Alligator mississippiensis: one gene and its partners. The protein of the gene in region 4 interacts with the protein of the main gene of each other region in a biochemical or structural test. Links are inferred from orthologs where the notes say so. Each region holds a gene or a part of one and is shown on either strand. Other genes may lie near its edges.

Evidence for each region.
Region 1: of the proteins of CCNE1 (region 4) and ARIH1, one has a biochemical effect on the other in vitro, tested with the Homo sapiens proteins (3 studies listed by BioGRID). The link is inferred for Alligator mississippiensis from reciprocal best matches to the Homo sapiens genes CCNE1 and ARIH1.
Region 2: of the proteins of CCNE1 (region 4) and PRKN, one has a biochemical effect on the other in vitro, tested with the Homo sapiens proteins (2 studies listed by BioGRID). The link is inferred for Alligator mississippiensis from reciprocal best matches to the Homo sapiens genes CCNE1 and PRKN.
Region 3: the proteins of CCNE1 (region 4) and CDC25A form a complex in vitro, tested with the Homo sapiens proteins (2 studies listed by BioGRID). The link is inferred for Alligator mississippiensis from reciprocal best matches to the Homo sapiens genes CCNE1 and CDC25A.

The regions. Positions count from the first base shown.
Region 1 is NC_081834.1:44,696,634-44,704,409, forward strand, and holds the start of ARIH1 (E3 ubiquitin-protein ligase ARIH1), read right to left. Parts: upstream 3,614-7,776; 5' UTR 3,501-3,613; coding exon 3,129-3,500; intron 1-3,128. UniProt on the Homo sapiens protein: E3 ubiquitin-protein ligase, which catalyzes ubiquitination of target proteins together with ubiquitin-conjugating enzyme E2 UBE2L3.
Region 2 is NC_081824.1:140,161,724-140,169,421, reverse strand, and holds the start of PRKN (E3 ubiquitin-protein ligase parkin), read left to right. Parts: upstream 1-4,130; 5' UTR 4,131-4,204; coding exon 4,205-4,211; intron 4,212-7,698. Other genes in the region: PACRG (parkin coregulated gene protein), read right to left, coding at 2,696-2,782, 3,346-3,492. UniProt on the Homo sapiens protein: Functions within a multiprotein E3 ubiquitin ligase complex, catalyzing the covalent attachment of ubiquitin moieties onto substrate proteins. Substrates include SYT11 and VDAC1.
Region 3 is NC_081828.1:218,037,552-218,045,349, forward strand, and holds the start of CDC25A (M-phase inducer phosphatase 1), read right to left. Parts: upstream 3,573-7,798; coding exon 3,517-3,572; intron 3,304-3,516; coding exon 2,983-3,303; intron 2,000-2,982; coding exon 1,914-1,999; intron 1-1,913. UniProt on the Homo sapiens protein: Tyrosine protein phosphatase which functions as a dosage-dependent inducer of mitotic progression. Directly dephosphorylates CDK1 and stimulates its kinase activity. Also dephosphorylates CDK2 in complex with cyclin-E, in vitro.
Region 4 is NC_081833.1:57,478,510-57,486,814, reverse strand, and holds the start of CCNE1 (G1/S-specific cyclin-E1), read right to left. Parts: upstream 3,520-8,305; 5' UTR 3,428-3,519; coding exon 3,414-3,427; intron 3,325-3,413; coding exon 3,234-3,324; intron 3,110-3,233; coding exon 3,041-3,109; intron 1-3,040. Other genes in the region: uncharacterized protein F13E9.13, mitochondrial, read left to right, coding at 3,765-3,837. UniProt on the Homo sapiens protein: Essential for the control of the cell cycle at the G1/S (start) transition.

The DNA of each region.
Region 1 (7,776 bases), on a different chromosome or scaffold from region 4:
GCAAGGTTGATCAATGAAAAGAGCCTACACAGGTAACCTTTGCACCTAGTTTTTGATCAGAGACCAATTTTACTGCAAGAGTCAATGCTAAACCTTTCAAATACAGGGCACTTCTGCATTTAAAAAAAAAATCTCACTTTCATCATTACAGCTGTAGTTTATATAGTTTGAGGAGCCTTATCATACCACTGATTAATCTACTGTTTAATATTTGGCACATAAGCAAATAATGTGGATGGTATTTGGTTTCTCCATAGCTAATATTAAATTGGAACAAGCACATCACAGGATGACAACCACAGACTTGCAGCAGGATACTGAATCAGTATTACTACATGACCCTAAAAAAAGGTTTATTGAACCAAAAAGACAGAAGCAATAATCTTGGCTGAATGCCAGAGACACAAAAATGGACAAGAATCCTGGAAGCTTTCAGCAGAAGTCAAACAGCAATAGAAGACTGAGAAAGATAAAATATTGGTAAGATTAATTTTGGGTTTGGGGTTTGTTTTTTTTAAGCCTCTCTATAAGTACTGAATTAAGTTTACTTATCCCCAAACAGATAAGCAATCCATTAGTAATAAGTTGTCATTCAAATGAACAATTAAATGCTCTCCTTTCCCTTACCCCTCTTCTGACATACTTCTCTGCTTAAGCTCATATTAGGTCAAAAGTTTATGGTACTATGCAAGCCTGAACACCAAAAATGTTTTTTGAACTCATGCCCATTCAACTGGCAAAACTTGTTGAAAACTGAGGACTAATTTGGAACCAAAAACACATATAAACATCAGTAAAGACAGCACAAGTCATTTAAGCATTGATCCTTTAAGTCATTCTGTACTAGGGGGTGTCCACTGTGCTCCTATAAAAAGCATCCCACTTAAAGAAGTGGGAAAGAAGTGCAACGCAATATCAGGCCCCAGTGATTACCTGCACGTACAAAGGAGCTACAGGTTCTATTACCCCTTAGTAACATCTATCCTTTGGTTGTATGGACTTCACAGCTTCACCACAGAAGGCTAGGTGACCAGGGACAAGACTCCAATGGCTTTGCAGAGGCAGTAAGACCAAGAAATTAATGGAGAATGAGGCACAGGAGCAAGTGATGTTGAACTGTTAGCCTAGAAAGTTTCACAAGAAAGTATTCTCAACCTACTCCTCACTGGCACCAGCATTTTTCAGTGTTTTACTGATCTACTTGGGGTACAGTTGGCTGAGACTGTCAACACCAGGTCAGACTGCAAAAGAATCACAGCTGGCAAGTTACCAATTATGCATTTTAGCTACTTTCACTCAAGGAAGGCTGATCTCTTAATGGCTGGTAGAACTATTAAAATGTTGATTTACAACTAAATATAGCCCCTGCTAAGTACTATTTTTGTTGCTAATCAAGAAGCTATATTCCATATCTATATTTGTGTAAGTAATAAACTTAGCATACACATATTTGCCTTATTCTTCACCTTTTTAATAAACATGAGAATATTGTGCACATTTTCTATACAAACTATTGACTACTAGCTTCTGTCAGGCTACACGAGTGGAAACTGTAGTTTAATTTAATAATGTAAGATGCATTTAAAATGCAAATTTATGTAACAGTGTACTGAGTTAATATAAAAAAGGTTATCAAAGCATTTATATTTAAAGAAAGAGTATATCTATGGCTGTTAAACAAAACCAATTGTTCCTCCCAGTCCACTGCCCTTCAAGATTTTACCAGTAGATCTCAGCTCTCTCTCAAGCTTTCCTATTTTGTCCAAGTCCTCATTGATACCAAACTTGAATAAACTAGTCGCTGAACTACAATAATTGAGCAAACTGAGATAAAGAATTATTTTCTCTACAGGCAGAAGGTACAAAACATATATATTGCTTCTAACCAACTCTTTTTCCAGGTACTTATTCAGTGACTTTGAATGTTCCTTAAAGAAAGCCAAACCACAGAACTGGTTGGCAGCAAATATCCAATACTCAATTACTTTTCATTTACAGTATTTGATCAGAGGACAGTAAGTTAGTCAATTTAATTCAAAATTGGCAAAGTTTTGTTTTACAACGTGAAGTGCTCAAAGTCCAATTTAAGTACCAAAATATCCTCTTTACAAGAGGATGATTTTTTTTTTTTTTAAATCTGCCTTGTTCAGCACGGAAATGGCAGATATTACACAGCAAGATTTACTCTGTGAGCACATCTATATAAAAAAAAGCAACAGTGCCTAGTTCTGTTTTCTGATTCTAGAGGCTGCTATCAATTCCTGAGCACTGCTATGCGCTCCATCATCCTAAATCGCCTGGCATACACAGAAGTAAAATGAAAAAAGAAACACTGGAATGACAGCACACAATCATTTCTAAGCATCGCTTTACTGTAAACACTTAACCCTACAGAAGCCCATCTCTGCAGGGGCCATTTGAAACCAGTGGTTTAATTCTTGTCATCATTGTGTAGCAAGAAGCTGACACAAGGCAGCAAGATGCATCTGGTTTGTAAATAGTGACTCATCAGCACTAAAATATTACCATCTTGTCTGAAGACAGTAGAATAAATAGCCCTCCCGACTGGAGCTTTTAGTGTCACCAAAATCCCTGCCACCTTCATCAAAATGTTATTCCTGCAAACCTTGGACAACGCGAGCATTTCCGGTGCAGTGGGGAGGGGAGGGGAGGGGAGGGGAGGGGGGCCCAACACCACTTACAGGAACACGGGACCTTCTCAAGGAAAAACAACAGCTGAGAGCAGGTCCGAATCCTGCTGCTCCCCCCTGAACCTGCCGCTAACGGCGGCCCCTGCCCTGCCTTCATGCCAACGCAGCTTCCCGGCACCTCCACAGGAGACGGGAAGCCACGTTTTGTCCACAGCCCCTTCTGTTGCCACGGCCGGTTGCAAGGGAGCCATGTCAGGCAGGGGCGGTGGAGCCGCAGCACTCGCGCTCGCGGCAGAGCTCCTAGGGCAGCGTGGGGAGGGGGCCGCGCGCTGCCATGACCCCACCGCCTCCACCCCCCGCGTGGCCCAAGCATCAAGCCGGGCCGGGGAGGGGGTGGGGAAGGGGGACGGGGAGGGGTCTCCTCCAGGCCCAGCGCTGTTTGGTCGCAGGCGGGAAGCGCCCCCCGGCCCCGCGCACCTGGATGACCTCGTTGACCTCGCGGATGCACTCCACCATGTGCTGCAGGATCTGCTCAGCCGTCAACACCTCGTAGCGGTAATCCTCGTCCTGCTCGTGGCCGCCGCCGCCGGGGCCCGGCCCACCGCCCAGCCCGCTGCCGCCGCCGCCGCCGCCGGGGCCCAGCCCGCCCGTCTCGCCGCCCAGCAGCCCGTCGCGCTCGCCGCCCACGCCCAGGCCCGGCTCCACCAGCTCCACCTCGCCCAGGTCCAGGTTATCGTCGTCGGGCTCGTCGTCCTCGTCCTCGTCGTCCTCGTCCTCCTCGGCGCCGCTGTCCTCGCTGCACTCCTCGTCCTCGTCGAACTCGTAGTTGTAGCCCTCGTCCGAGTCCATGGCGGGCGGCGGCTGGGCCCGGCCCCGGCCCCGGATAAGCCCCGCGCCGCTCGGCTCCGGCTCGGCCTCGGCCCCGGCCTGGGCCCCGCCCGCGCTGCCGCCCCGCGCAGGCCGCCCGCCCCGCCCGCCCGCGCCGCGCGGGACAACGAGGCGCCGCTGCCGCCGCTGAGCCAACAAAGGGACGCGGCGGCCCCGCTCCGTCACCGCGCGCTGCGCACGCCACGCACGCCGCGCTGCGTGCCCTGCGTGCCCTGCGTCCCCGCCCCCCACGCCGGGCTCGGCTCGGGACCGCCATCTTGGGTGTGGCCAAACAAAAACAATCCCTCGCCGGCCGCCATGTTGAGTGTGGCGGTGGAGCCTTTGGTGGAGCGAACGCTCGCCTGCTTTTCCTCCGCACTCTCCGGCGCCATCTTGGGGGGGTCGCTGCCCTGACGCTTGGCAGTGGATCCGCCATATTGAGTGTGGCGGCCCGTTCCTATCCCCACCCCCACCCCAGCCGTATGTCCGTTTTAAGTGTGAAATTTGTGAAGTTTCTTTGTTGAGATGTATATTTTTGGTACTTTAATAACAAAAAAAAACAAAACAAAAAGTCTGGCTGGGCTGGGCTGGGCTGCAGCCTAGTGTTTGGTCTAGGCGGTGCCCAGTCTGGAGGGCACCAGGCAGCTCCTGGCAGCTTGAGGCTGTCGATGCCCCTGGTGTGCGGGGCCCAGCAACCACCCGAACCAGTCCTGACGCTGTGGCGCCCGTGCAGGGTCGCTCCCATGGGAAGACGCCGAAGGCCCCGAACACGGGGCAGCACAGGACAAACAGGAGCGACAGGCGCAGCTGGGGTCACCGCTTGTCCCGAATTGGGCAGGACAGTCGCAAAATATGAACATTGAATCCTGGGCCCGGACTGCGTAGCTCTGGGGCAGCGTTTGTCCCAGGTTCCCCTGGACACAATCGCTACTGTCCCAGGATCTAGTAGTGCCAGCTCTGGTGGAGTCTGTCTGGGGAGGTTTCCAGAACGCCAGCGCGCCAGCCGCTCAACACGGACATGCCAGCACGCCCGCCGCTCAACACGGACATGCCAGCGCGCCCGCCGCTCAACACGGACATGCCAGCACGCCCGCCGCTCAACACGGACATGCCAGCACGCCCGCCGCTCAACACAGACATGCCAATGTGCCTGCTGCTCAATACAGACATGGCAGCGTGCCTGCCGCTCAACACGGACATGCCAGTGCGCCCGCCACTCAATACGGACATGCCTGCGTGCCCGCCGCTCAACACGGACATGCCAGCGCACCCGCCGCTCAACACGGACGTGCCAGCACGCCCGCCGCTCAACACGAACGTGCCAGCGTGCCCGCCGCTCAACATGGACGTGCCAGCGCGCTTGCCACTCAACATGGACGTGCCAGCGCGCCCGCCACTCAACACGGACATCCCAATGTGCCTGCTGCTCAACACAGACATGCCTGTGCGCCCACTGTTCAACACGGACATGTCAGTGCGCCCGCCGCTCAACACGGACATGCCAGCACGCCCGCCGCTCAACACGGACATGCCAGCGCACCCGCCGCTCAACACGGACGTGCCAGCACGCCCGCCGCTCAACACGAACGTGCCAGCGTGCCCGCCGCTCAACATGGACGTGCCAGCGCGCCTGCCACTCAACATGGACGTGCCAGCGCGCCCGCCACTCAACACGGACATGCCAATGTGCCTGCTGCTCAACACAGACATGCCTGTGCGCCCACTGTTCAACACGGACATGTCAGTGCGCCCGCCGCTCAACACGGACATGCCAGCACGCCCGCCGCTCAACACGGATATGCCAGTGCGCCCGCCGCTCAACATGGACGTGCCAGCATGCCCGCTGCTCAACACAGACATGCCAATGTGCCTGCTGCTCAATAGAGACATGCCTGTGCACCCACTGTTCAACACGGACATGTCAGCACGCCTGCCACTCAATACAGACATGCCTGTGTGCCTGCCACTCAATACGGACATGCCAGCGCACCTGCCGCATAACACGGACATGCCAGTGCACCTGCTGCTCAACACGGACATGCCAGTGTGCCCACCACACAACATGGACATGCCTGAGCGCCCACTGCTCAACACAGACATTCCTGTGCACCTGCCACACAACGAGGACATGCCAGTGCGCCCATGACACAACACGTGTTGGCTACAAATGTCCAACTCGGGATCCTTCAAATTCTAGTTTATTAGGCGGATTGAAACACTGTAATGAGTTAAATCATAAACCTTGGGGCTAGTCCCCACACACACACACATGCACACACATACACACACACACAGTAGCAGGCTACAGAGTCAGTTATACCTATCCCACAGGTGCTGGTGTCTGTCATTGAGGCTTCTTTCAGCACGGTGTTATCTTCCAGAAGGGGGTCGCCAGCTGGTCCTTCTGGCTGGACAGGTCTGGTCGAGTTGGAGATCGAGATCAAGAGGGCGCCACTGAGGGTCACTTTTCACTCCCTTTTATCTGTCCTTGGCAGACTTTGGTGACTCCCCAGTTTTCAGATTTGCCCAATCCAGGTGTCGTTGACCCTCGTGGGACTTCCCCCCTCGGTGGCTACTTGACGGCATCTGTCAGCCCCAGGGTCGTCTGCATGTACATGCAGGTTTGGGAGTCCTTTGATGAATTTTGAATAGGGCTCTGGGAGTGGTCGATTTGGAGATATTCAGCCCAAAAGTTGGTCCCCGGTGTTGATTAACTCAGGCCAGGGCTTCTAGCCCTTGATCAGCCACGTTTAGAGATTTCCCGGTTGTTACATTGTCTTCTATTGAGTTCTTCCCTTGGTTGATCTGCAGCTTCCAGGTGATAATTGCTGTGTGCTACCTTGTTACACATTCAATCACTGATTCACTCTCTCTTTCAGGGGCCAGCCTGATACAGGGAAGGGCAGTTTGATTCCTGCCCTTGTTAACATTGTTACAATGTATAACTTACTAAAACACATTTAGTTGAAAGTTGAAAGGTGAGGAGTATAAAATATAAGCTACAAATGCCATGGCACACAAATAAATAAAAATACCAAACTACAAGGGGAGATACAAAATGCGCACACACAAATTTTAAAACACAATTCCTTATCTTAAAGTGAAAGAGAGAGGAAGGAAGAAAAGGTAGAAAAAGAGAAACATATCCAAAGAGGGGAGAGCAAATGCAAGCAAGAGGAAAAGGGGGCTTTCTGCTACACACGGACATGCCTGCGCACCCACCACACAACACGGACATGCCTGCACGCCCGCCACTCAACACAGACATGCCTGTGTGCTTACGTATATCAGTTATGATTGGCAATGTGTAGGGGGTGCACGCAGGTGCACACCCCCTGAGATTGGCGGTGCACCCCCCCCACAGAAGTGCCGCTGGTCCTTCCAGCGGCGCCCACAGGCAGTCACTGCTCACCACCCTCCCCTCTTGCAGCCAACAACACTGGCGGCATGTGCAGGCAGTCGCCAATTGCCACTGGCTGCCCTTGACACTGCAGTGTCTACAGTTGGTCATTGACTGCTGGTCAGCACTCATCACCCCTGCCACCGACATCACCGTGGCCACCTGCAGGAGCTTTCCGCCACCACACCCCCCACTGCCGCTGCCTGTGGCCATTTGCTGTGCACCCCCAGCCTCCAGGGGCATGCGTCATTCATGCCAGTTATGGATTACAGTGTATAGACTTTACATCAGGAAGGCAAATACACAAGACTTGCATTTTAAAAACCCACTGGACTACTGTATAAATCAGATTCAACATTTAAAATTTATTCTAATGAATGCCCTATCATTTAATCACCTAGGTGACTCTCAGCAGTCTCCTGGAGATTTATATCTAATTCCTGGAGACTCCAGGTCAATCCTGGAGGGTTGGCAACCCAACCAGTATCACATGCAGGGATCCGGGTTTTCTGTTCCCTGCAAGGAAACAGCAGGTTTCCCCTGCAGGTGGGCAGCGTTCCAGCCTCCAAGGAGCTGCTTGGGGCTGGGGGAGCAGGACGCTCAGCTGCACTTTCCCCCTGTCTGCTCCAGTCAGTCCCGAGTGTTACACCACTCCACTGCTGCTTCTGCTGGTTGGTGCAGACCTGGCCGGGCTTGCCCCATCCCCAGCAGCACGTGGGAAGCTGGCTTCAACCGCATGCTGCTCCAGATGGGATGGACCCGGCCGGGTCTGCACCGGCCAGGAAAGGCGGCATGCAGCTGAAGTCGGCTCCTCATGTGCTGCTGGGGATGTGAGGAGCCTGGCGGGGTCTGCACCAG
Region 2 (7,698 bases), on a different chromosome or scaffold from region 4:
AATTAGCCCATACAGCAGTGACCACAGGCACCTGGGCTTCTTGCAGACATTAAAAAAGAAAAAAAAAATGTGCTTTACTGGAAGAGGAAGCACATTACTTCAAACTGGATCTGCAGCATCTGCATAGATCAGGCATTTCAGCAGGGTTTTTTGGCACTTTTAGCTAAAGCTTTTAATTAGCTATTAAATTAAAGCCCCACTAAAGCACCCGATCTCTACAGTTGTCAGGCAAGCTGGGTCTAACTGATGTGCTGCCTCTTGTGGGCATGTGCTGGGCTCAGCATGAGAACATGGCATGTTTAAAGTACCTTTTTTTTTTTAACATCTGCAAGCAGCTCTGGTGGTCATTTGAAAGAGCAATTTGGGAAGTCCTAGGCAGCCTCTCTCATAAAAGTATATGATATTAAGACATGACGGACAACTGAAGGGTGACTGCCCAGAAAGTAAGGGCCGCATCCAGGGGCTTCACGGCCACCTCTGGAAGTTCACCCTGCCACTTCAACATCAGTGAATCTCAGACTGCTGTCAGGTTGTTTTAAGGGTGATGCAGGATGCCATGCAATATTAGCACTGTTAGGCATGCACATGATTCCCAAGATAGACCCAGTAGGCATTTATACACATGCTCTGGGAGGCGGGGGGTGGGGGTGCTTTAATTACAGCTGCTCTAATTAAAGCATCAGGAGCAACATGTGTATCAGCATCCCTACGCTGAAAAATGGCAGCAGGGACACTTTGACTAAAGCTTATCAAATGAGCTTTAGTTAAAGCACCCCCAACTGTCATTTATCAACACAGGGATGCTGATACACGTGACACTGGATTCTGCTGGAGCATGGTAGTTACCCCATTCCAGCACAGGTACTATGGATTATGATGTGCTGTAATTAGTGTGTCAGAGCAGCCTCAATGTACGTGGATAGGTGCCCAGTGATTTCAAACAGGAATCCATAGTACCTACTGAAAACACTCTGACCCGTTGTGGTCTTTCTGAGCCCCTTGTAACAAAAGACTTGCTCCATTGTTTTCCCATTGTAAAAAAAAAAAAGAGCAGAAGCTAAGAGCTATCACTTTCACAGGGGTCCCAAGGGCTAACAAGGGGTGCCTTAGGTCTAAAAAAGGTTGATAATCATTGGTTTAGATATGCTAGAGTACAATCTAATCATGTAATAAAGTGTATTATAAAAAATAAAACCTTAAAAGTGAGATCAAACCAGTGGTAGAAAGTTTAACAATTGCCAAAGTTGAGGAAATAGAGACAAGCAGGATGTGAAATCCCTCCAACTTTTTCAATATGTTGTTCTGGTACATTAAAAAGATTTATACATTTACATTCACTACGAATGACCTTAGTGAAACTAACTTGCCTACAATTAAGTGCTCATATTTGCAGGAGTGTAAGCCTACATTTTTACATAATAAGACTGCAGTCTAAAGGAGGGCTTTTGGACATTGCCATCCGACAAGTGTTTACTCCTTATATAGTCTAAAATTCTGTTATTAAGCCTCCCCAGTCCTTCAAAAAGGGGACTCAAGACTTGGTATTTCAGAATGAAGGAAACCCACAGATGGCTGAAACCTTTCTTTCTTTTCATGTTGCTTTGTTGGATCTAATCTAATACCTGCTTAAGCCAAAAGGACATCTTCTAAACAGTTGAAGCACATTGTGTGAGGCTTTACAGAATGGTAATTTATGATCAAAATATAATAATGTATTTTTTAATTAATGTTGCCAATTATCTTTTTAGAGTTAAATGTAAAAATGAAAACTAATTATGGAAAACACTTTTTTCCCCCCAAAAGCTGAATTTGTTTGATTTGACTGTAAATATTAAATCACATACATTGTGTTCTTAGTACTATATGATAATAGGTTAGTGCTAGGAGAAGCTTTGCTTTTAATTACTGTTGGCTATAAGATTATTTGGGACCTCTAGAAAGGGAAAATGTTACTTATCAGGTATTTTCTAGAACAGAACGTTTTTGTTTATATTTAAAGTAGACTTGCTTATGCTTAATTGTCAATATTTGCTGTATATAGTGAATTCCAGAGACCTGTGAGAGAAGTCTCTAGCATTTCTTTTTCTTTTCCCCAGGAAAACAAATATAAATTAAAAAAGAGAAAAAAAGAATACTGTTATATACACCTTGAACTGTACCCACAAGCAAACAAAAAGCCAGTCCAGAGATTTGAGCACAGATGTTGTGTACTTGTAATAGCTCGTTCCACTTGCAAACTGAGCAGCTGCATTCTGCACTAGCAGAAGCTTTGATTTTTATTTATTACATTTGATGGGAGCAATCAATTAACACAATTATTGCAAAAAAGCTTCATTACAAACACAGGGCCCAATTCTGGACTCTCTACTGATGGCAGCCATCCCAGGATCTTCAGTGGAAGTGCTTCTCTAGGGACTATTAATGAAAGTAAAGATTACTGGATCCACCCCTGGGTCATCTTCATCCTAAAAGCTATCAGCTGGAGAATTACATCCTTTTCAATGTACTATTCACTAGTATTGTGAGAGTTATTTTTGGAAGTTATTATTAAAAAGTGTGTTTTTCATTATCTTCATGGTTATTTAGTGATGTTCAACTGTTTCTTTCCCTCACCTTTTCCTAGGGGTTTGCTAAAAATACATTGGGTTAGCTACGTTAACTAAAAATACACACTTAGTACCATTACATTATTCACCTGAGGCTCTGAAGCATGATCTACTGTACATCTCCTGTCCCCTGTCTCTCTGGTCACCACTGGCCCTGCCCAGGCCTTGGGAGTCACCTGGGTGCCAGAGACAGATTTTTGCCATATGATTTGACATTTGTCATAATCGCGCCAAACAGCAACTTGAGAAGAAAACATTTTTGCGCCATGCTTTTGCACAGTACGATCGAGTGCATGCCCTGTGGATACCCTGGCCCTCTGATGCAATGTGAATGGCCGACAAAAAACAACATCGTGCCACAACGGCGCCGACCTGACGCATTACGAAGCTCAGGAGCAAACCCTCTGGAGGGGACATCTCCTCCTTCACATGGGCTTTTCCCAAGGCCTGGAGGCTCTATCAGTGACCGCTGACCTCCACAGAAAGACCTGCCAATCCCACACAACCCTGTGGCAAGTACAGTCCCCAACACTCTCTCAATACGTCTTTCACAGGCACATGAAACTAAACCAGCAGTGCTCAAACACCTTGGCCTACGGGCCACATCTGACCCTTTGGAAGCCCCAGTGAATGATGCCATCTCTCTCCCACTGCCCAACCTCTGGCCCCGTGGGGAGCACGGTGGCAGGAGGCAGAACCTGCCGGGCGCACCACACAGTCAGGCAGGCAGGCAACGTACCACGCTGTTCTTCATCATGGCCTTGACGGTGAAGCCGTCGCTGACCTGTGGCTTGGCTTTCTTGGCAGGCCGCAGTGGCAGCTGCTGTTGTGGGGGGAGGTGCCATGCTGGCTTCAGGGCACAGGCGCCCTGCTGCTCCACCACCATCTTGCCCCGCACCTTCCTAAAAGAAATAAAAGGAAAGTAGGGATGAGAAAGGAACCAGGGGCAAGGGTTACATTTATTGCATTTGGAATAAATCTAAGAAAATTTACATTAAATGAACAAAACAGGGATCAGAAACATGTCAGCCAGATGCAAAAAGAAGTCAGCCCTCCCCCCCCCCATGGGATGTCCCTCCCACCCCACCCCAGAATGGGATGCTTCCCCCCGCCCCACAATTGGATGCTTTCCACCCTCTCCCTGCCACCCCCACAATGGGATGTCCCTCCCCTACGCCCCACAATGGGATGCTCCCCCCGCCTCACCCCGCGGGGGCTCGCGGCAGGGGCGGCTGCGCGCGGGGTGGACGCTATAACCGAGTCAGTCGCCAGCGCGCGCGCGCTTCTAGGGACGCGTTCCGGTTGCTAGGCAACGCGTCAACAACCTGTCGGCTGGCCGCGCCCGGTCACGTGCGGCAGCCGAGGGAAAGGGGGAGGAGTAGAGGTGTCAATTTGCGTCGATCACGTGATCCCACGTGAGAACTACGCTCCCCAGCGTAGGTTGCGCCCCTCCCTTTCCCAACCGCCCGCTGAAGCAGCTACGGCACCAGCAGCGACTTCGCTGCGCAGGCGTAGTGTGACTCAGCGGCCGGCAGGGCGCAGGGCGAGGCTTTGCGCAGCGCGGCTCCTCCCCCCCCACCCCTCACTGCGCCGGGGCTATGATCGGTGAGTGAGTGAGACCCGGATGTAGCGCCCCCTTTTTTTTCCTCCCGCCCCGTCCCCAGCGGCCACCATGACGCAGCGCGCGGCGGAGCTTGTGACGTACCCCCCCCTCCGTCATGCACAGAACACGCCCCTCCACTGGCCCTCAGTGTGCCCCTCCCCCCGCAGGCCTTTGGGGCCACGTGGGCCCCTGTTTGTGCTTACCCCTGGCCCTGAGTCACGAGGGTGTCAGTCCTCGCACCCTGGCTCCCTGAAGCAGGTGGCCTGTGCCATGGTCCTTGGCCACGAGAGAGGAAGGGGTTGGCTGGGCAAGGGGAAGTGTGAGATGCCCCAGCCTTTACTTACAGCCCAAGCCAGAGGCAAAGGCCTCAGGGTTCCCAACCCTCCAGGATTTCCTTGGAGTCTCCAGGAATTAGATACAAATCTTCAGGAGACTGCTATGAGCACCCCCCACCCTGGAGATCAGTGATAGGGGTCTCATTCAAATAAATAGGAAATGTTGAGTCTGATTTATGCAGTAGTCCAGAAGGTCTTTCATATGTAGCAGTATCGTGCATTGGCCTTCCTGGCCTGAAGTCTACACACTGTAAACCGTAACTGATGCATGCAGGCATGTTTGTGCTGTGTGTCGTTATGTCATGGGATGAAACCTCTCAGAAGAGATTCAAACAGAGTTGGCAACCTTAGACGGTCCCGATATCTTTCTCTTGACCCTGGGGCCAAGTTGTGAAGGCCCAAACTTCTCCCTCATCCTTTTTTTTTTTTTTTTTAATTATTTCCGGGTTAACCTCTTCCAACCACAGTGCTGGCATGGTCTCTTCTAGTTAACTGCCTCCAGCTTTGCTGCAGTGCATCATTATAAATACTGGTGGCAGCCATTGGGGCCATCTTATCTTCCCTTGCTCTGGTGTTACCCAGGGTTCAAATTACATCAAATTTGATTCTTCCAGGGGTTTGCAAAAGCAATTGGGCTACCCACAGTGCCATATTAACGCATAGGCAAACCAGGCACATGCCTAGGGCCTTAAGTGAAGAAGGGGACCAGTTGTGCTTATTTACATATTATAATTACTGACTGAAAAAAAGTAGGGGCCCATGAATTTGTTTGCCTAGGGCCCACTAAAGGGTTAATCCAGCCCTGGCTGCTCATCACTATGCTCTAATAAAATTGGAGACTCCCCCCAGGTTATGATTTTCAAATCTTACAGGGGAGCTCTCATCTCTTATGCAGGGGACTCAGCCCTACTGAGCTCCCCAGTAATTCAAACCTTGGTGTTACCCTTCCTGGCAGCAGAACTAAAGCGGGGCAGTTGTGTGATCTGGGTAAGGTGCTGTGCTGGTCATCCTTGAGGACCCTGTTCTACATTCAAATTAAAACTGGATAGAAACCAGTTATATTGTGGTTTCCTGTTCTCAAATGCTAACTTTGTAGCTGGTTGTCTCTCTTTAAAGCAGGGTAGTTATTTTTATTGTGTGATTGTTACTTGCCGCATGTAGCTGGTCTAAATTTATTGCAGGATTAACTTGTTAATTGTATTACTTTGCATGTGTGGCCTGTCTAAATTTATGTTGGGTAATTGTGTAATATCTGTAAGTTATAGTGGGCGCCTGAGTTAGCAATGTGCAGCCTTCTGATAGCACGACCATTCAGTTGTTTCACTGGCTATAATTTCGTTTGGAAAGAAGAGACAATTTATCTTCAGTATTTCCCTTCCATCATTGTAGGGCTCCACCAAACACAAAAGCCACCTCTTCCCTTACTACGTCTCTTTCCCCCCTGCGTCTCTCTTTTAATTTCATTTTTGTAATTTGTTAATTATTCACAGACAAGACCAAAGGAGCAGAAAGTGGGATGCTAAATGAATTTAATACTAAATAAAATAAATTATTTTCCTCCACCCACAGATTTTAAATGCTTTTCTCTGCCCTTCATATTGGGTGTTTGTCCACTTTCTGAGAACTGATCAGTTTTGTGATTGTTGGACACATTGCCCAGGCAGCAACAGTAATAATCCAAGAATTCGGTAATGGAATTGACTCAAAGGATTTTGGACACTATAAACTTCATGGCTTTTACCCTTAGAAATGTTCATTCCTTTTTAACAGTAATGTTCTGGTAAAAACATGTACTGTAGTGGTATTCTTTAAAACTAAATTCTTCCCAACCCTGTCAAAAAAGCACAAGTTTGATCATGTGGTTTTCCATCTCTGAATATTCATGGAAATAAGTCTCTTCATAGCTCTATACAGTCCATACCTGGCCTTTTGTCTGCACGTAGTTTTCTGATACAGTAGAGAATATGCAAAAGTCTTGATTTCAGGGAAAATATTGTAGTATCCACATGTACTTATATCTTGATAAAATATATGAAGGGCAGGTTTCTTGTTTACAGGAATACATTTTATTTATTTTTCTCTAATTCCTGTAAAAAAAATTAGTATGTTACAATTTAAAAAGGTGTAAGTATCTCACATTTCTGAAGAAAGGCTCAGGAGTTAGTTGCTTGAGGTTGTGTTAGGGTTAATCTACCAAGTTCTTTATTGTTACTTAGTTATTTTGCATTCATAGGATATGACTTTAAAAGAATGAAAAATATAAATTGATCAGAAAAAATCTCAAAACAATTGTTATATCCCAACTGTATATTGGTTTGTAAGGCTGTGCGAAACGGCACCGTTCCATTTTGGCTTGAGTTTCAAGGTTTCAACAGAACAGCATTTTGTTTTGAATTTCATTTCAATTTGAAACCGCTGTTCTGTTCTGTTTTGTTTTGTCAAAACAGTGTCACTGTTTCGACGCTGTTTCGCCATTTTGCCCATACAATATAATGGGGAAGCTTAAAACAGCCTCTCTCATCCAGCAGGCAGATGGGGGCCCGCAACCGTGGGAGGGCTGCAGGGACTGTGCCGGTCCTACCGGGGCTGCAGGCCCCTGACCTGCCTGCCAGATAAGGGAGGGAAGCCGGGTGCTGCTGCTTGGGACTGGGGAGCTGGGGAAGGGAACTGAGCCCGATCACTCAGTTCCCCTCCCCAGCACTATGATCAGGCTGGGGAAAGGAACTCAGCCCAGCTGAGCTGAATTCCCCTCTCCAGCACTAGGATTGGGCTCCCTTCCCCAGCCACATGGGGCTGCAGAGCCGCTGGGAGCACAGCCCTTATTCTTCCCTGTCTCCCATCACCTGGCTGCTTCAAAAGTTTTGAAATGTTTCAACTAGCCTCGTTTTGTTTCAAGGCTTTTTCGAAGCCCTTTGTTTTGATTTGATTTTGCTGTTTTGAGCTCGGAATGAGTCGAAGCAGTGTTGAATTGAAAAATTTGGTGAAATTTTGCACAGCCCTATTGGTTTGGTTTTTTTTTAATGAGCAATCACATAGGCATTATATATTCTTATCACCAGAGTGTTCTTATGGCAAACCTTTTCGGAGAATGACTACAGGTTCTCCATGTCAGTGGATCCATAAACTCATGTAGATTTTTATAGACTTCAGTGAA
Region 3 (7,798 bases), on a different chromosome or scaffold from region 4:
ATTAATTATATTTTTGCTTATTTTTACATATATATGCACACAAACTAACAGGAAGCAACTTTGCTAAGGAATTCTGTCTTAAATATAAAGTTTTACTTCCACTTCATCCCAACTAAATTAAGAGTATGCATCTCATTATCTACCGAGCTCTTTGTAAGAAGAATCAGTATCAAGAAAGCGAGCTAGCACCTCAGAGTTAGATCACAGAAGAATAAAGCTGGAAGGGCCCTCATGTAGTCCAACCCTCTGCTCAGAGGAGAAGCACTTCTAAAACCATCCCAGCCCAGAACAGGCTATACAGATACTTAACCACCCTTAGAGTCAGAAAGTTCTTCCTAATCTCCACCTCAAATGTTCCGTGTGTGCATTCAAGTTGCAACATTACAGATGCAGTTTCCTTCTGGTATGCTTAAGACCATCAACAATTATAAGCCTGCTTTCCAGGAGCCTATATTTTATTATTGTAGGTCATGAGCCAGAAAGTTGTGCCTGTAAAACATCTAGTACATAGCAAAAAGGTTCCCTGCCCCAAACAGCTTCAGATGTCTGTATGGGTGTGATGTGATGTCTACCCATCGTTATGCACAATGGCACTCCACACCCATCCACCTCACCTTGATGAGCAAATACAAAGAAAAATTGGTCAGCAATGTAGGCTTCTGGCATGTTCGGGCCATTGCCTAATCACTGCTCTTTGGAGGCATGATAACGAAAGGAGTCTTAAGGAAGTATTTAAAGGAGAACAATGAAGCAGCTTTGCTGGAGCTTACAGGATATCCTCAAGGGACTCTGGAAGAATTGTTTTAAACAAGTGGACAGAAGCAAGCTGCCTCTTCACGTCTCCATGTTGCACCCTCCTGTTATCTCACTCCGCTTTGCTGTCTTTATGCAAGTTTTATCAGGCTGCACATGAAAGGGGGAACACATCTAAGGAAAAAGGTGGTCTTTAATCCCTGATGCTCAGGTCTTTAGGATTAGGAAAGCATTAAGCAATTGTAAGCAACAAAGGTAGCACCTTTCCCCCACTCAGGACTTTCCAAGGGCTAGACCAGGGGTGGACACTAGTGGCACAGGCAGCCCATGTGCATGGCATATGATAGATCAGGGAGGGAACAGAAAGCAGAGCAGCAGGTCAGGCAGGAGAAGGAGATCAGAACTGCACTTGGGGAGGGAGGGCATGGAGCTTTGTATGTAGCACACCAGCCACATCCCTGCTAGTCTAGACAAAGATGGCATCACTAACACACAACTAACCCCAGAGGGCAAGCTCAGCAGTTAGGGGGACAACCAGCATGTGGCGCCACCAGGAGGTATAGGAGAAGTTGGCTTTGGACACAAATGATCCTCCCTTATTAGCACCTGCACAGACACTGACCACAAAACCGTGATTTAAAGCCTCAGCTGATGCTTAACTAAGTTCTGAAGGCTTGAGGCATCTCTGACAGCAAGCTGTTCAGCTGACAGAAAGAAGAGCTTTTATACAGAAGGGAACAGAGGGAAGAAACAGCTGCCAAGAGACTTAGTAATAAGTGGTTCGATTAGATCAATTTAAGATGAACAAGGCAGTTAACTGCATTTTAATTCACCCAGTCAATCTACTTCTTACCTCTCTTAGCAGCAGCTCCTCTCCTTGCTCCCTTCTATATAAAACCCTTGCTTTCTGGCACTGCATTCATAGCACCTGACACAGTACGTTGGTGCCTATAACGGGTCGTGCCTCTGAATCAGTTGGTTTCGTGCTACTCCGCACCATCTTCTGCCTGACTTCAGACTAACGTGATTAGCTATCCGAGAGCGTGCAGCATTAGCCTGGACTTTTAAAACTTTAAGTTTGCCCATTACAGACATCAAGCAAACAAGAGGATGCCACTTGTTCATTCCCAAGCTTTTATTTGCGATTAAAGCAATCTAACCTGAGTCCGTAGATTCTGACGAGGCCATTCTTTGTAGGTTGTTACCGTTCTTCATTTCCAGCATCTGCTCAGAGTTTTCAAATTGGCTACAAAGATCCCAAAATAAGTGAGTTATTTTATTGAATGGTTTTCATTAAGAAAAAGGAGAGACGACAAATAAACCGCGTGCAATTTACAAGATAAACCCAAGCTTCAAGTAGGGATCAGAAAACATGTCGACCCGTTGCGAGCTTTTCGAGTTCTTTGCAACAGAAAAATTGCTCTGGTATCATTTCACGAGCGACGTGAGGGAGAGCAGGGAGCCGGTGTTTTTTGAGGAGGGCCTCGAGTCTAATGCGGGGACACCCATTAGATTTGGAGGACCTCAAGTCTAAAAAGCATTGAGAACCGCTGGTTTAATGAACGACGTGGTCACGGCTCCAGGACCCAGCAGTCTTGAATAGTCGCTGTAAGGACAGCGTACTTAGTGGCTCCATCACACTCCCCGCCACTGGCCTGGACCCCGTGCCGCTCAGGAAATAAACCCCCGCGTGTTCTCACGTGTATTTCCACAGAGGCACTGCTCGTGCGAAAACCCACCAAGCTCTACAACCACGAACGGGGGCTCACAACCGCCGCGACTGAAAGCGCGCTCTTTGCTTTCCGGCTTTGGAGCGTCTCGGGTCCCCACCTGCGCCTTCCCAAGCGAGAATCAGACACTTTCTAAAGAGAATCTCAGTTTTCCTTCCGCCCGTCTCGGCCCTACCAGAACGGTGCAGATTAAGTCAAAATCGGCACGGTTCGAAATCCTGGAAGACGACGACGCTCCCTGCAACGGGTGCGATCGCTGGAATCGATTTTGGGACGAGACCCGTGAGAAAGTCGGATGGTGGCCGGCGGCCAAACCCAGCCACTCGCCTCGGTTTAGGGGAGACCAGGGGATGTGGGGGTCACCTCAGGGGTGGGGGGGAAGGGCAGGCCTGTGTAAAGGGGGGTTTGAGGGGTGGGGGAAGGGCAGGCCTGTGTAAAGGGGGGTTTGAGGGGTGGGGGAAGGGCAGGCTTGTGTAAGGGGGGTTCTGAGGGGTCTCACCTTCGTCCGAGGCGGCCCAGGGCGAAGCCGAGGCCGGTGACCGGGGAGAGCTCTGCGGGGAACAGGGCCTTGACGGCGGCGGCGGGGGGCTCCATGGCGGCGGGCGCGCTGAGCGCAGCTGTCAGCGCAGGGGAGCTTTGACCCCCCGCGGCCCCCGTCCCTGAGCGCAGCCGGCGCGCGCGCGCTCTCCCGCTCCGCCGCCCCCCCGCTCCGAAGCTGGCGCCAAAGCGCGCCGACCAATCAGCAGCGGCGGCACCCAATTTCAGCCCGCCCACCTGGCGCCAGTCTCGTTTCCCTTTCTCGCCCGGCCCAGCTGTCGCGCTGAGCGACGGAAAGAGTGACCAATAGCACGCGGCGCTTCGCCTTGCCGGCAGCCAATCCCCCCAAGCCTGTCCCTGAGAGGTTAACAGGCCTCCTCAGTGCTGACCAATAGAACAGACAAGGAGGCTCGTGTGCGGCCAATGGAAACGAGCCTAGCCCTGTCTCCTCCCTCGCCCAGGGTTGTTTGACAGCAGACCCGACCACTAAGCTTGCTCGATGGGCTCGTCGGCGGCTTTTCTCGTGAGCAAGCCAACAGCATGCAACCCCATGCTGGCGCAAGCGCCAACAAGACTGGAAGTCCCAGCATGCAATGCTCCTCTTGGCCCAAAGGGGAAGCTGGGCCGCCGGGCGCATTGCATGCTGGGACTTGTAGTCCGCAAGTCCCTTCACCCAGCTTCATTGTGGGGCATGAGGCTGCTCTAGAGACCCAGCTTGGCCCCCAGGTCCTGGTCCAGCCTCACACAGCCATGAGGTGCACACATGGCAGCCATTCCCGCAGTGTCCAGGCCGGCCTCGCTAGCTTAGGACGAGCCTCTCGGTGCTCCGTGCTTTCCTGTCAAGCCCCAGCTCCTGGAGGCATGGGATGAAGACAGCAAACCACCCTAGCTGCCTCGCATCTCTGCTGCCAGGCACCTTGCTGCCCCGCGGGGTGGTGGGGATGAGCGACACCCTACAACGTGTCGTGGGAAACACGGCGCCCTGTCGCTGCAATGCCAGGGAAGGACTGGGCTAGTGTTTGCTCACGATCAGAGAAAAGGCCAGCCAGCCATGCTCCGTGGGAAAGCAAAACCCCCTTGCAGCCTTTGACAGTTTGACTCGAGGAAAACTTATTTCCTGACCCCAGATTTGGAGATTGGCGCGGCCCCCGAGAGGATGAGCATTCAGGACCTTCCATCTAGGAGCATCTGGGCTTCCTATATAGGGGCCAGTCAGCATCGCCAGCCGTAGCTGTGACCCGCACCCAGCGCATCAGAGGAAGACGAAACAAAAGAAAACCAGAATCCTGTAATAGGGAGAAGAATTCCTTCCTGGCCCTATTGGTGCCCAACACAAGCCCCAAACCATTACATTATCACTATACACGACAGAAGAAAAGTTTATACCCCGATTTGGGGATGGAAAAGATGTACTTTATTTCACAAATCACACATACTGATGACAAAGCCAACCACCCCCCAACCCATGATCCCCACCCTTCCCTCCCTTCCACATCCTTCCTGTCATTTCTGATCCAAGTGAGAGCTTTGCAAGATCAACGAGGGTCGTCTGCTTTGGATGCGGCACCGCTTTTGTGTGAAGGCTTTGGTAAAAGGTGGCTGATAGCTCAAAATAAAAAGGCGTTGCACAAAATGTCAGTTCCAGGCGGCCGCGGCGGGGAGCGTCACGGGTTTCATTACCAATGTTGTGTGTGTACGTGTGTGTGCACAGTGTAGAGAAAGACCACTGCACATCCTTGTGTCACTGAGCGGGATGTTTAGGTCAATGCTGCAGATAGGTCTTGAGTGTTAGAAGACAGCAATCACACAACTGACAGCAATTACACAAAGACACCAATCACACCCTCAATGACACGGCCCCTTGTGTATTCCACTGGTTAGGACCGTGGGATTGGGAAATGCTGCTCCGACCCCTCGGCTCCAGTAATGCTGTAGATCAGCGGTACGCGTACCACCACAACCTGTCAGTGTACGCATTCACTGATTTATTACAACTACTTTATATGACAAAACTTTCCTGGCGGTACTTAAGGTTGAACTGAAAAATGTGCTAGTGGCACGTAAGGTTGTATCATTTTAAACTGGTGGTGCGCAACCCGTCAGAGTTTGGGAACCGTTGCTGTAGATGAAAGGATCAGTGCGAACATGAATGGAAAGCAATGGGGCGGCACTCTTGGGACTCTTCCGCACTGGGGTTCAATGGGGCTCCATTCAGCCAAAAAGTCACCTTAGTGTAGGATTAGACCTTAAATTTATCTCTTATTTTGTTTTTCTAGATGTTTTTTTTAACCGAAGAAATGCTGGGGTTAGTTAGCCTTGTATTCCTAGAGAACTAGAATAAGCACCTGGCAGGGGTTTCTTCAGTTTGCATTTGAAAGGTTATGATTGAGGTGGGTGAATCATTCATCCCTAAACCTTTTTCTCCCTATTGTTTTCCAGGTGTTTGACTTAAACAGGCGCTAAGTAACACTTCTTTATCATGCAGAGCTGCGATCCCAATATACAAGGTTGGAGGGTAATGGATAGATGGCCCCTGTGCCAAGGGAGGCTCAGCAATCTTGACCACGCTCCAAATGTCCCTTGGGACACTATCCCAACCCCGGGCAGAAACCTCCTTGGAGAAGTGGTTCCCAAACTGCAGTTTAAAATGATACAGCATTAAGTACCACCAGCAATTTTTTCAGCTTGGCCTGAAGTACAACCATTAATTTTTTGTCATATAATTCTAATAAATCTGCCAACGTGTACCACTGGTGGTACCCGCACCACAGACACTGACTTAGAGTATGATTTGAGGCCGTTCTGGCTGAGCCAGAGAGCAGCTCATGATCCCTAATCCATGCATTGTGTACGCGTGGACAAGGGGAGCCCGGCTATTGCTTTCATGTGACACCACTTATCTATCAGCAATGAACAGCTAAAAGAAAAGCAGCAACATGCAAAAAGCAAAGCTTGGGGCTAACAGAGAAACCCCAAAAGAATCCAAATAGTCTGATTAAGCCTTTCTTCCCCTCTCAGCTGCTCAGTTTTCAGGCTTTTGTCTCATAGTAACCCTACTAGTAATGCAGTCCTCTATTGTGAAAATAATGTTCCATGGCTTTCTTATGCATCCAAAGGGGAAAAAAAGCCAAAAGCTCATTTCCCCCCCTTTGCAGATCATATTTAACTCATTGGCTCTTTAGCATCTTCCAGTTGGCGAGAGTCACCAGGCGCCTGCAGCTCACCGCTCTGGTTTATTTTTTGTAGTTCCCCCCGCACCCCCAGGTCTGGTTTACTTGTTCTCTCTCGTTAGCCATCAGAACGAGCAGTCCACCGAGCATCCTTGCACAGCGGCGTGCTGCGGCACGCTTTCACCTGCCTGCGAGAAGAGCTGCCGAGCGGAAAGGAAGCGCGGTCCCTGGCAGAGGTGCTGTGTGCGGCTCTGTAGCCTCCCTGCTCATGCGAGACATGTGCAGGCCTCCAAGAGAGGAAAATGCATTTGTGCATTTCTCAGCCTCCTCCCTGAACTGTCACAACATCTGGGTTCAATTCCCTCCCTTCTTGATAATTCCTTTCCCCCCCTTCCAGTACCGTTATCACATGAACACGCATGCGTGTCTTTAAAAGGTGAAAAGGAAGGTGCTACACAGGGACAGCATCCCCCAAGCCAAAGCTTTAGGATGGGCCGTTTCCTCCTGCGATGGCAGCTTGCCTGGGACCGGTTTCACATGGCTGCAGGAAGAGGCGTGGAAGTGGTCTGTGAATGCATCTGGAATAAGAGACTTCTCCCAAGTGACCAGGATTTGCCAGAGCTGCTAATGTTGGGTTGGTGGCCGTTCCCTGCAGGTCTGACTCAGTCTCCCAGGGGCATTGATATGCTGCCATCGCTCTGCCAAGGGCTTTCCACCAAAATGCTCCCTGGTGACAGCCCCTAGATCCCAGGAGCAGAGGGATGAGAGGCTAGAGAAACAGGCGTTTGCTTTCCAGCTGAAATTAAAAGCTTGTCTTAGCACCGAAACGGAGGAGGACGGCAGCAGAATTTCCGATGGTAAAATCCAAATTTCTGGAGCAGGAAGCCAGAGCCTGCAAGGTTCCCGGGGACCTTCCCCATACCTGCCGCTAGATGGTACTTTAACATGAAATACCCATACGGAAATCTCGATGCATCACAGCTGCACCGACTGGCGCCCAACCCCTTGGCGGATGTCGCAGACCCATGTCATTGCAAGGACACAGGAACACTTAGCTTGATTTGCTCAAAAGCTTTTGAGGAAGAAACCAGCCTATGAACACCGTTTACTATTGGTTACTGCTTCAAGCCAGTAGGAAAGCACAAACAAGGAAGGAGAGGGCGGTCAAAATTGCTACGAATTTGGGGTCTAGGAAAGATGCCGCATCGGCTGCCCCAGAGATGAACAATCTTAATTCAAGTCACGATTCAAGCCAGCAACCAAACCCCAGGTCTTCGAGCCACCAGGCTCCTCTCAGAATGGCGTTCCTATTCAGTATTTATGCCCCAAACTTCCTCCCATGCTTCTTTTACTGAAGCCACCTGTGTCTCAGGTGGCTTTTCCTCCTTCCTGTGCCCCTGCAGAGTGCTATGATGCCCTCCCCTTACCCATTCAAACGTGGAGTATGGAGCGCTCTCGAGGGGCTTCGCAGCACTGGGTGGGGATGATCCAGGGGTAGGCAGGGAGTTTGTGTGGTTTGTTGTGAAACAGATGCAGAGCATCCCCGAGTGTGCAATCCTATAGACCCCGTCTCTCTGGCTCCGATGAAGCGTCCAGGACTACTTCTGC
Region 4 (8,305 bases):
CTTTTCCTCTGCTCTGCCAGAAGGAAAAAAAAAAAAAAAAAAAAATCCACCAAACAAACCACAAAAACCCAACAGCTGGCAGCCATCCATAAAACTAAAAGCTTAATATATTTGCAAGCATATTGCAAAAAATAATGACAGATCTTGTTGAAGTGTTATGCTACAAGAAAGCCTCACAAAGCAGTTCTACAATATCCAGATCAAGAAGGGAAGAAAAAAAATTAAGGGGGGGGGGTGAAATAAGGAAAGGAGTGGAAGATGAAAGAGAAGGGACTACTGGGGCTTAAGGTTTCAATCAGAGCTAGATAAGAAATCATCTTTCCGTCCTATATTTTCCAATAATTTCGAGTTCCTGTCCCAAATAAGAACAAGCTTAAAAACCTTAGATTTGTGAGCCTGAAGATATTTGGTCTTTTTATCCTAAATTAAGAACTTGGAGAGAATCCTGTATTGAAGGTATGTTGAAATAGAATATTTCATTGACTTTAACTCTTCCAAAAGTGTTATAAACTGGTTTGTCTTATTCCACTTCAAGTAGTTACCCTTTTCCAAAGGAAGTTTCCTTGAAAAGTTTCTGAGCAGCTCTAGTTTCAATTCCTTGCCCTAAAATTCAGTAGGCTACATGATTTACATCAAAGGATTCTGTGGGTTACTAAACTCACCCAAATCATTCTTTATTAAGATATGTAAAAACAATAAATAGTTGTTTAGAGGAGCTGTGTTTCACAACAAATGCTGGAAACATACCTGTACACAAGTTAGTGACCACGATCCATTTGGGAAATGCTAAGAGAATTACAACAGTACCAGTTATCTTCAAAATGAAATGCAGAATTCTGCTTCTACCAGCCTGATGATATAACAACCCTTTCATCCCATAAAGGGTAACAGCTTCCTAATTAAAAGCCTGGGCCTTATGTTCAACAGAAACCAACTAATGAATTGAGCATGAACACGCCATAAGTGGGATGTGACAGTGCTACTTTTACATGGAGCAAAACAGAGCCTAACCGTTTAATGTGAATGTCACGTGGTACTTGCAAGAGGCTATAAATCCAGTGCAGCACATTAGAGTTAGTTATACCATTGCTACATACCATCTTGCTTTCTTTCTGGATATCACACAAGCCTGCTATACTACTGTTGAAATGGCATACATATTCTCATTAGTGGCCCATGGCAATTTATATCAGAGAATAGCTTGTGTCACACCACAGACTGAAGAGCTGCTGCTGTGCAGCCAAATGTTAGCTTCATCATTTTACAGATCCACAACAATCTGGATACTTTGTTACAACAAAGAATCTTCTTTAAATGGGAAGAGGTACCCATTTTTATCTATAAAACAGAGAGTTGCAGAACTTAATTCTCCTCAGTGCCATGAGGCTTTACCAGAAATTATATTTTAATTTACACTCTGGGACTGTAGCTCTGTTGCCATATGCCAATTGTTTCACAGATCGCTCCAACATAGACCGAATCCAATATACACCGTAACGCTATACCTAGTTCTGGAACTTAAGAGGAGAGTTATTGTAGGCCTCCTTGCTAAACATGTTTCAAGTTTTTCTTTCCGTTGTCTTTTCGGGGAAGATGGTAAATATCATAGTTCGCATTAAGAATTTTAGTAGATAGTCACAAAAAAAAACCCAAAACAAAAAACACCACTTTAGGGAAGAAGGAATTGTGGTGAAGATAAATATCCCCCTTGTCAGAAGTGAGAAATTAGTTTAATATATTGCATAGAGAGACAGAAGGGAAGACTAGATCTTCTCATTAAATGTTCACCATTTGAGCCCTACTTAATATGTTGACTGATAACTAGTATACACAGTTGCAACGAGCAGAGGCCATTCCAAACAATGATGCCCATCTGTTATGGTAGCGCTTCAGTCTTCAAACTTCCAGCTGCCACTTCTGGTTAGCTGTACCACATTATGCATAGCCCTACATACTGAATGAATAGGGGCTGTATTCCCCAAATCATGACTTTTGCAGCTTAAATATCACCCTTTGCGCACACTAATTGGCTCAAGTCCTAACAACGGAGGCTCTGTATGAGGTCTATGTATTGTATTTCTCTGTGCCTCAGTCAAATTTATTCTGCATCCATTTCCAAAGGTGCCCAAGTTCACAAAGACCGTTAAAAACTCTCACATATCTTATACTACATATAAAAAGTGTGGGGCAGCAACTGACAGAACCCCAAGTTTGTGGAACAAAAACAAAGTGGAAGCCGAGTTTGCAACAAACACGCAGCCTAGAGTGTCCGGGGTTTTAATCTCAAAATTAAGATACCTTAATAGTCACAGAGGAGTTTCAGAAAGCTGACTATGCCTGTTATGTGACGACATCTCCCTCTTAACATTTGCCTATTGGCCCTATCTCAGAGCCTCAAGTGCTCCAATAGAAACTACTCTACTCTACCCCACCTAGAGAAACTCTAGATGCAGCACTTCCCCCCCTGCATTATACATGCATTGGTGTAGAGCATGTGGATTTCCAAATTTTAACTCTGCACCTTTTAATTTCTGGCATTTTGACAACAGTGCTTGCTAAGGTGAGAACAAATGGGGGCAGGGATGATGAAAGCATACCCTTCCCCCCCGTAAATTCACATCTGAAAAGGGCGATTCCAGTCAGATCCACGCTTATCGACAGTTACGTGCGACATCTGTCTTCAAGTCTCCAATCCCGCCATGCACATTTGTACAGAGATGAAGGACCTTTGTGCACCCGTGCAGAGCTCAATGCAAGATCAGACCTTTAGACATTAAAAAAAAAAAGCGTACAAACCCAGGACGTCTGGTAACCCTACTTTGGTTTGACCGACACGGGTCTCATCTATTCCGTGGCAGCAAAGGATCTAAGAAAACAGCGTGTAAAATTATAAGGAGTTTTCCCCATTTTGTGTGTATTTTTGTAAGTGGCCCGGGTGGGAGCAGGACCAGTCGGTGCTGCCATGGGCATCACCTTGCCGAAACAAGGAAAAACATCACAGCGGCCTTACTCCCCCCGAATCCCGAGCCGAGTCGGTTACCTGGTTGCCGCACTGCTTTTTCTTGCCTGTTTCCACTTTGGCCATTTCATCATCGGGATCCTGCAAAAACTAGAAGAGAAAGGAAGGGGGGAAAGAAGACAAGCGCATGCTAAGGGGTGAGGGACACCGCACCTGGCCAAGCAGGGCCCCAGGAGCCAGGAGCCCCGCTTCACCTGCCCCAGCCTGCACTCACCGTGCCCACGTCGGCTTTCCTCTTCCGGGCTCGCATGGCAGCGTCGGCAGCAGCCTGGGCCTTGGCGGGGACCTTCTCCCCCGAGCCGGCACTGCCGAGAGAGGCGGTGAGAGGCAGGGCGGCGCGCGGGGAGGCCCAGGCCTGGGCCCAGCCCCGCTCCCGGCCCGCGGGCGGACTCACCTCTCGCGGCGCATGGCGCTGGGCGCCGCACAAAGACCCCGCACGTGCGGGCGGCCGGCCGGCCGGGATGGGATGGGATGGGATGGGATGAGCCGGGCAGGGCAGGGCAGGGCAGGGCAGGGCAGGGCGGGAGCTCGGCGCGGGCAGCCTCACGGCGCCGCCGCCGCTCCCGCCCGTGCGCAGGGCGCGGGCTCTGCCGAGCGGGACATTTAAACGCCTGGCGCGGGGCCGCCTCCCGCACACGTGGCCCGCGCGGGGGCAGCGGCCGGCCCGGCGGGCCTGGACGGGGCGGGCCGGGGGAGGCGCCGGCGGCCTCGGGCGGAAGGCGGCGGCCGAGCCGGGCCGGGTCGGATGCGCCTCTCGGAGCTTGTCGGCCGCCTGCAGCCGGCGGTGCTGGGGATGCTGCACGTCGGGGCGCTGCCAGGTGAGCCGGGCCCGGCCTCGGCCTCGGCCAAGGGAGAAGGACCGGGATCGGGGGGCTCCGCGCTCGCACCGGGGAGGTCTTTCCCATGCCAGAGACAGAGGAAAAAAAACCAGACCATCCAAAAAGGGCAGCTTTCTCTGGGAAAGCGCCAGGAAATGCTCCTTTTCGGCAAGCTTTCGGGATCCGAGCCCCTTCGTCAGGCTCGGGGGAAAGTAGAGAGGGTGCAGCCTGGCAACAGAAGTAGAGAGGGTGCAAGATGGTAAAAAGTCCCCATAGGGAGGAAATAAACTTCTATCTTGCACAGGGGAGCTGGGGATGGGAGGCTCCCTCCAGGCCCAGCAGGGTGTCTGAGCTGTAGACCAGGTGGGATTCCTCCCCTGGAGGCGTAGGCTGGCAGGCAGGTAGGTAAAAAACCTTTCCTGTTGTTCTGCACTGAAGTTTAAAATCCCAAATCGGCTAGAATTCAGCATCTTCCCTGGGCCGGGGGGGGGTACTTGGTAGCTGTGTTGGTGTGGGACAAGAAGACAGGCAGTTTTCCATGTGTTGATTCCTCTGTGAAAGCCTACAAAAGATCAATTTTCATGTCTACCCAGGAGGACTTTTACAATCTTTTCTCCAACGCCTGATGAAGGGTGTTTGTGCCTGAAAGCAGCGTTCCCTCTAAACTGTGTGGCATGCTTGGCCTGGCAGTGCGGTCACACGCCATGCGGCTTAGAGGGAACGCTGCCTGAAAGCTTGCAATTAAAGAATTTTTTTTGCAAAAATCTTGTTAGTCTAAGAAAAGATATCATCACTACTATGAGTCCTGATTGCCTTTTCCTCTAGACCAATATGGTTACAACCTGGATACCTGATACAAAAAACTAGAACTCTTGGTTCCAAAATGATACCTTTTATTAAACCAACTGGGAAATCCCAAGAAAATTAAAGCATGGAGGTTGTTGTGGCTGGGTACTGCCGGTCAGACCAGATGCAAGAAGGGCTTGGATTTTTTTTTTTTTAAAAGAAACTTTGTGTTCCAAGCCAAATCAGCCAAATCAAGTTCAAATCCTGAGTCAGTCCAGAGCCATAAGTGGCCCTACAACTGGCAGACATCCTCCACCCCCACCAGGGGCTTTAGATATTTCAAGTCTTCTGACAGGCATACTACGTGCTGGCCCAAACCCGGGGACTCAGTGTTTGTATGCCCCCAAGTTTTGCCTGACCTCAGCCGTTTGGCCGCAGGAGCAAGCAAGGGAGGAGCCTCCCACTTCCTTAAAGTGGGCTTTAAGCCCCAACACCTCAGCGGGTACTGAACCACACCAGCAGTGATCCCTGGGAACGCTTAAGGAAAACTGCCTTCACGGACCCAGACACATGGTGTTTCCGCTGCCTGGCTTGGAGGAAAAAGGCATTGCTAGCTGTGGAGTGAGGAAAGCAGCCTCTGAATTTCATTCCCAGAGCAGTGGTTTGGGTCCCTTCTGACCCAAAAATCAATGAATCCCAATTTCTTGGGACAAAAAAAAAAAAAAAAGCAGGGAAGGGAGTGAGGTCACAGGTTCAAAATAAGGGATCTGGAAGGGGACACTGAGTAGAGCAAACTGGCCAGGACCCACTGCCCCTGAATCAGTTGAGGGAGCCTGTGGATGCCAACCAGTGAAACTCTGCTTGGAGACTTGAATGGAGGAGTGGTGGCAAGACAGCCCTACACTTGCCCTGGTTTCCCCTGGCCAGAGCCTCCTTCCTGGTCTTGTAGATGGCCACCTTGGCCAGAGCCAGGAAGAGGTTGACCAGGAGACCCCAGGGATTGGTGGGGCCAGGGATGGGAAGGGTATAACAAAAAAGGTGCAGGGAGAAGTACAGCCACTACCTCAGCAGGAGGTTCTGAAGGAGGCAGAAGAGGGGTTGCAACCTGGTGCACTCGAGGTAGACATGTGCCGGGGTCTCCCTCTATTGGCAAAAGGTGTAGGTGATGGGAGTGTCTGTAAAGCAAGCCAGATACATGCCCGATGGCTTCATGGAGGATCTGCCAGCTGAGGTTCCCAGCAGCTCATGGGATCCTGGTGGAATAGAGACTTGGCCACTGGGGACCTAGGGTGTCTTGCCACCACCTCACCTAGGGTGTCCTGCCACTTGTTGCCAGGCTGGGACACAAAGACAGGATGATGGATTGGGTGGAGCATGAGCATCAAGAGTTGGTACTGATGGGCAATTCAGAAGAGGACCGATTTGATATCCCCCACTGGTTTGATGTTCAATGGAGCTGTTTTCATGTTGATCTCTGGAAAATGTAGCTAGTCTGTTGGCTAAATTCTTCTAGGTCTCCCCAGAGTGATTGTATGGTTGTAGGAGACAAGTTGTAGGTGTGCACACGGTTCCAAAAGTGGGTTTAGGGTTCGAGTGCTGGGGGATATCAAACCTCCCTGCAGGCGATGTGCTTCTTGGTACCCCTCTTCTCCAGGGCGTAGAAGTACAAACCGCAGCCCATCTCCCGAAGGAGCTGGATTCGCAGGCAGACCATGACAATCATCCAGAGCTTGGAGCTCCTCCTGCTTCTCCCAACACTGCAGAGGGACATGTTGTCAAAGTCAGTGGCCAAGCATCTCCCTCTCAAGCTGTTCCTTGGCCACTTCCCTCTGTCGGGTGTGCCTCCAGGTGTAGCTGTGGCAAAAGAGCTGGACATGCACCTTCCCCACATCCTGCCATCTCCAAGTCAAGGGGAAAGCTGGCTGCAGCTCATGACAAGCCAGAACTGGAAGGCTGCCACCAAATCCATGTCCTCCACCAGGCTGTTGTTAAAGTGCTGGCCCTGGATACTCAGGCTGCAGCGAGACCCCAGGGTAGATGAGGTAGTGTTTGCTGAAGGAGGCTGGCCTAATGCCAAAGGCATAGATTTGGGTAGTGTTTGGCAATGAGACGTACGTTTGGTTCAGCTAGGACTGGTGCACCTGATCCTTCTCCACCCTCACGAAGGTGAAGGTGGTAGTGTCATTAGGGTGGCAGGCACACCAGACATCTGCAGTGGTCTGAGAGGACCCCAGCGGTGGCCTGGCTCTGCTCCCGCCTGTTCAGTCCTGCACTTTGAGGGAGACATTATGAAGTCCTTGGTGAAGACCAGGCATTTGTGTGGGTTGAGGGTGGCACAGTAGGTGGAATCAGGCCATCTCTGAGTGGCGCATAGAGGCGTAAGATGTTCGGCAAGTTCAGAACAAACCCCTGTGCCTGGACCCGGAGATGGAGCAGGTGGCCCATCACCTCCTCAGCACCCTGGAGGATCTCTGGCTGCAGGTTCAGGGAGAACAGAGTTGCCACCCCACATGATGTCTCTGTGAGGTGGCTGATGTACACCCTGTTTCCCCACTCCAGCTGCCAGCTGGCTTTGCGGCCGGAGTCGTGTGAGTCTCATGAAGGAAGAGCACAGAGGACCCACCCTTCCCAAAGGAAGGAGAGTATTTGGCACCTGTGGAGACCTGTCCTGCAGATGTGGACATCAATAGTCATGATCTTGAATGACCTATTGCTGGGGGGTGTCGGCTGGCTCAGCAGGGGCCTCGCAACCCTGCCACCCTCCCAGAGATGTAAAGGGTGTTCTGAAAGCTGTGGGCCCATGTGTAGGTCCTGGTGTTGCACCATTTTGGCCCCTTGCCTTCCCCAGTAGTGTCCTCACAGTGTTGAGGATGCAGTGGAAGTCCCTAAGCAGTCCAGAGCGAGATGCACCATGTTCAGGGAACACAGCGCACTCTCTTTCTCCAGGAAATGGAGCAGCTTCTCCCTGGGGACCGCCAGGGCCAAATGGTCCATGGACTCCCAGTTGTCCTCTTCAAGGCTCTGTGGTTCAACAGGCTCCAACTGATTGCTTGGAGGGGCAGCTGTTTCCTCTTCCTCCAGCCCAGTGGGGGCAGAAGCCTGGTGAAACCATCTGAATCACCTGGTCCACTGCTTCCCCGGACTTCAGCGGAGGGAGCAATGCAGCCCTTTGGGGCAGGGGTGGGGTCAGCTCAGGACTTGGAAGGGCAGAACAGAGCACGGTCTGTGCAGGGTCCCTGTTCTGCTTGTTGGGGGACCCTGCTTTGAACCCCTCTGTGTTGGGACCACTGTGTGGGCCAGGGATGGTTTCTGGGAGTTTTTGTGGGAGTGCTGAAGGACATTTGTCAGGTACTGTTGTGGCTTCGGTGCCCTCGCTGGAGCCTTTGGGAAGGGGCTTTTCCCCATCAGGGCTCGTCAAGATGAGCCCCAGGGCTCCTACCTCCTGTATATGTTCGGAAAGGGAGAGCTGTGCCTCCCGACCCACCCCAGGGTGATCGAGGCCTCTGCTTCGGCACTTGCATTGTTGGGGGGCGGGTCGTGGTCAACGGAGTGATGGTTTCCTCCCAGGGCTCCTCTCTGGGACAGTCTGGCTGTCCCAGATCCTCTTCCATGGGGGCAACTCTTAATTTTCCCAGGGGTGGGGTGTCTGGTGAAGCTCAAGGGGCAAGCAGGCTTTCTTTCA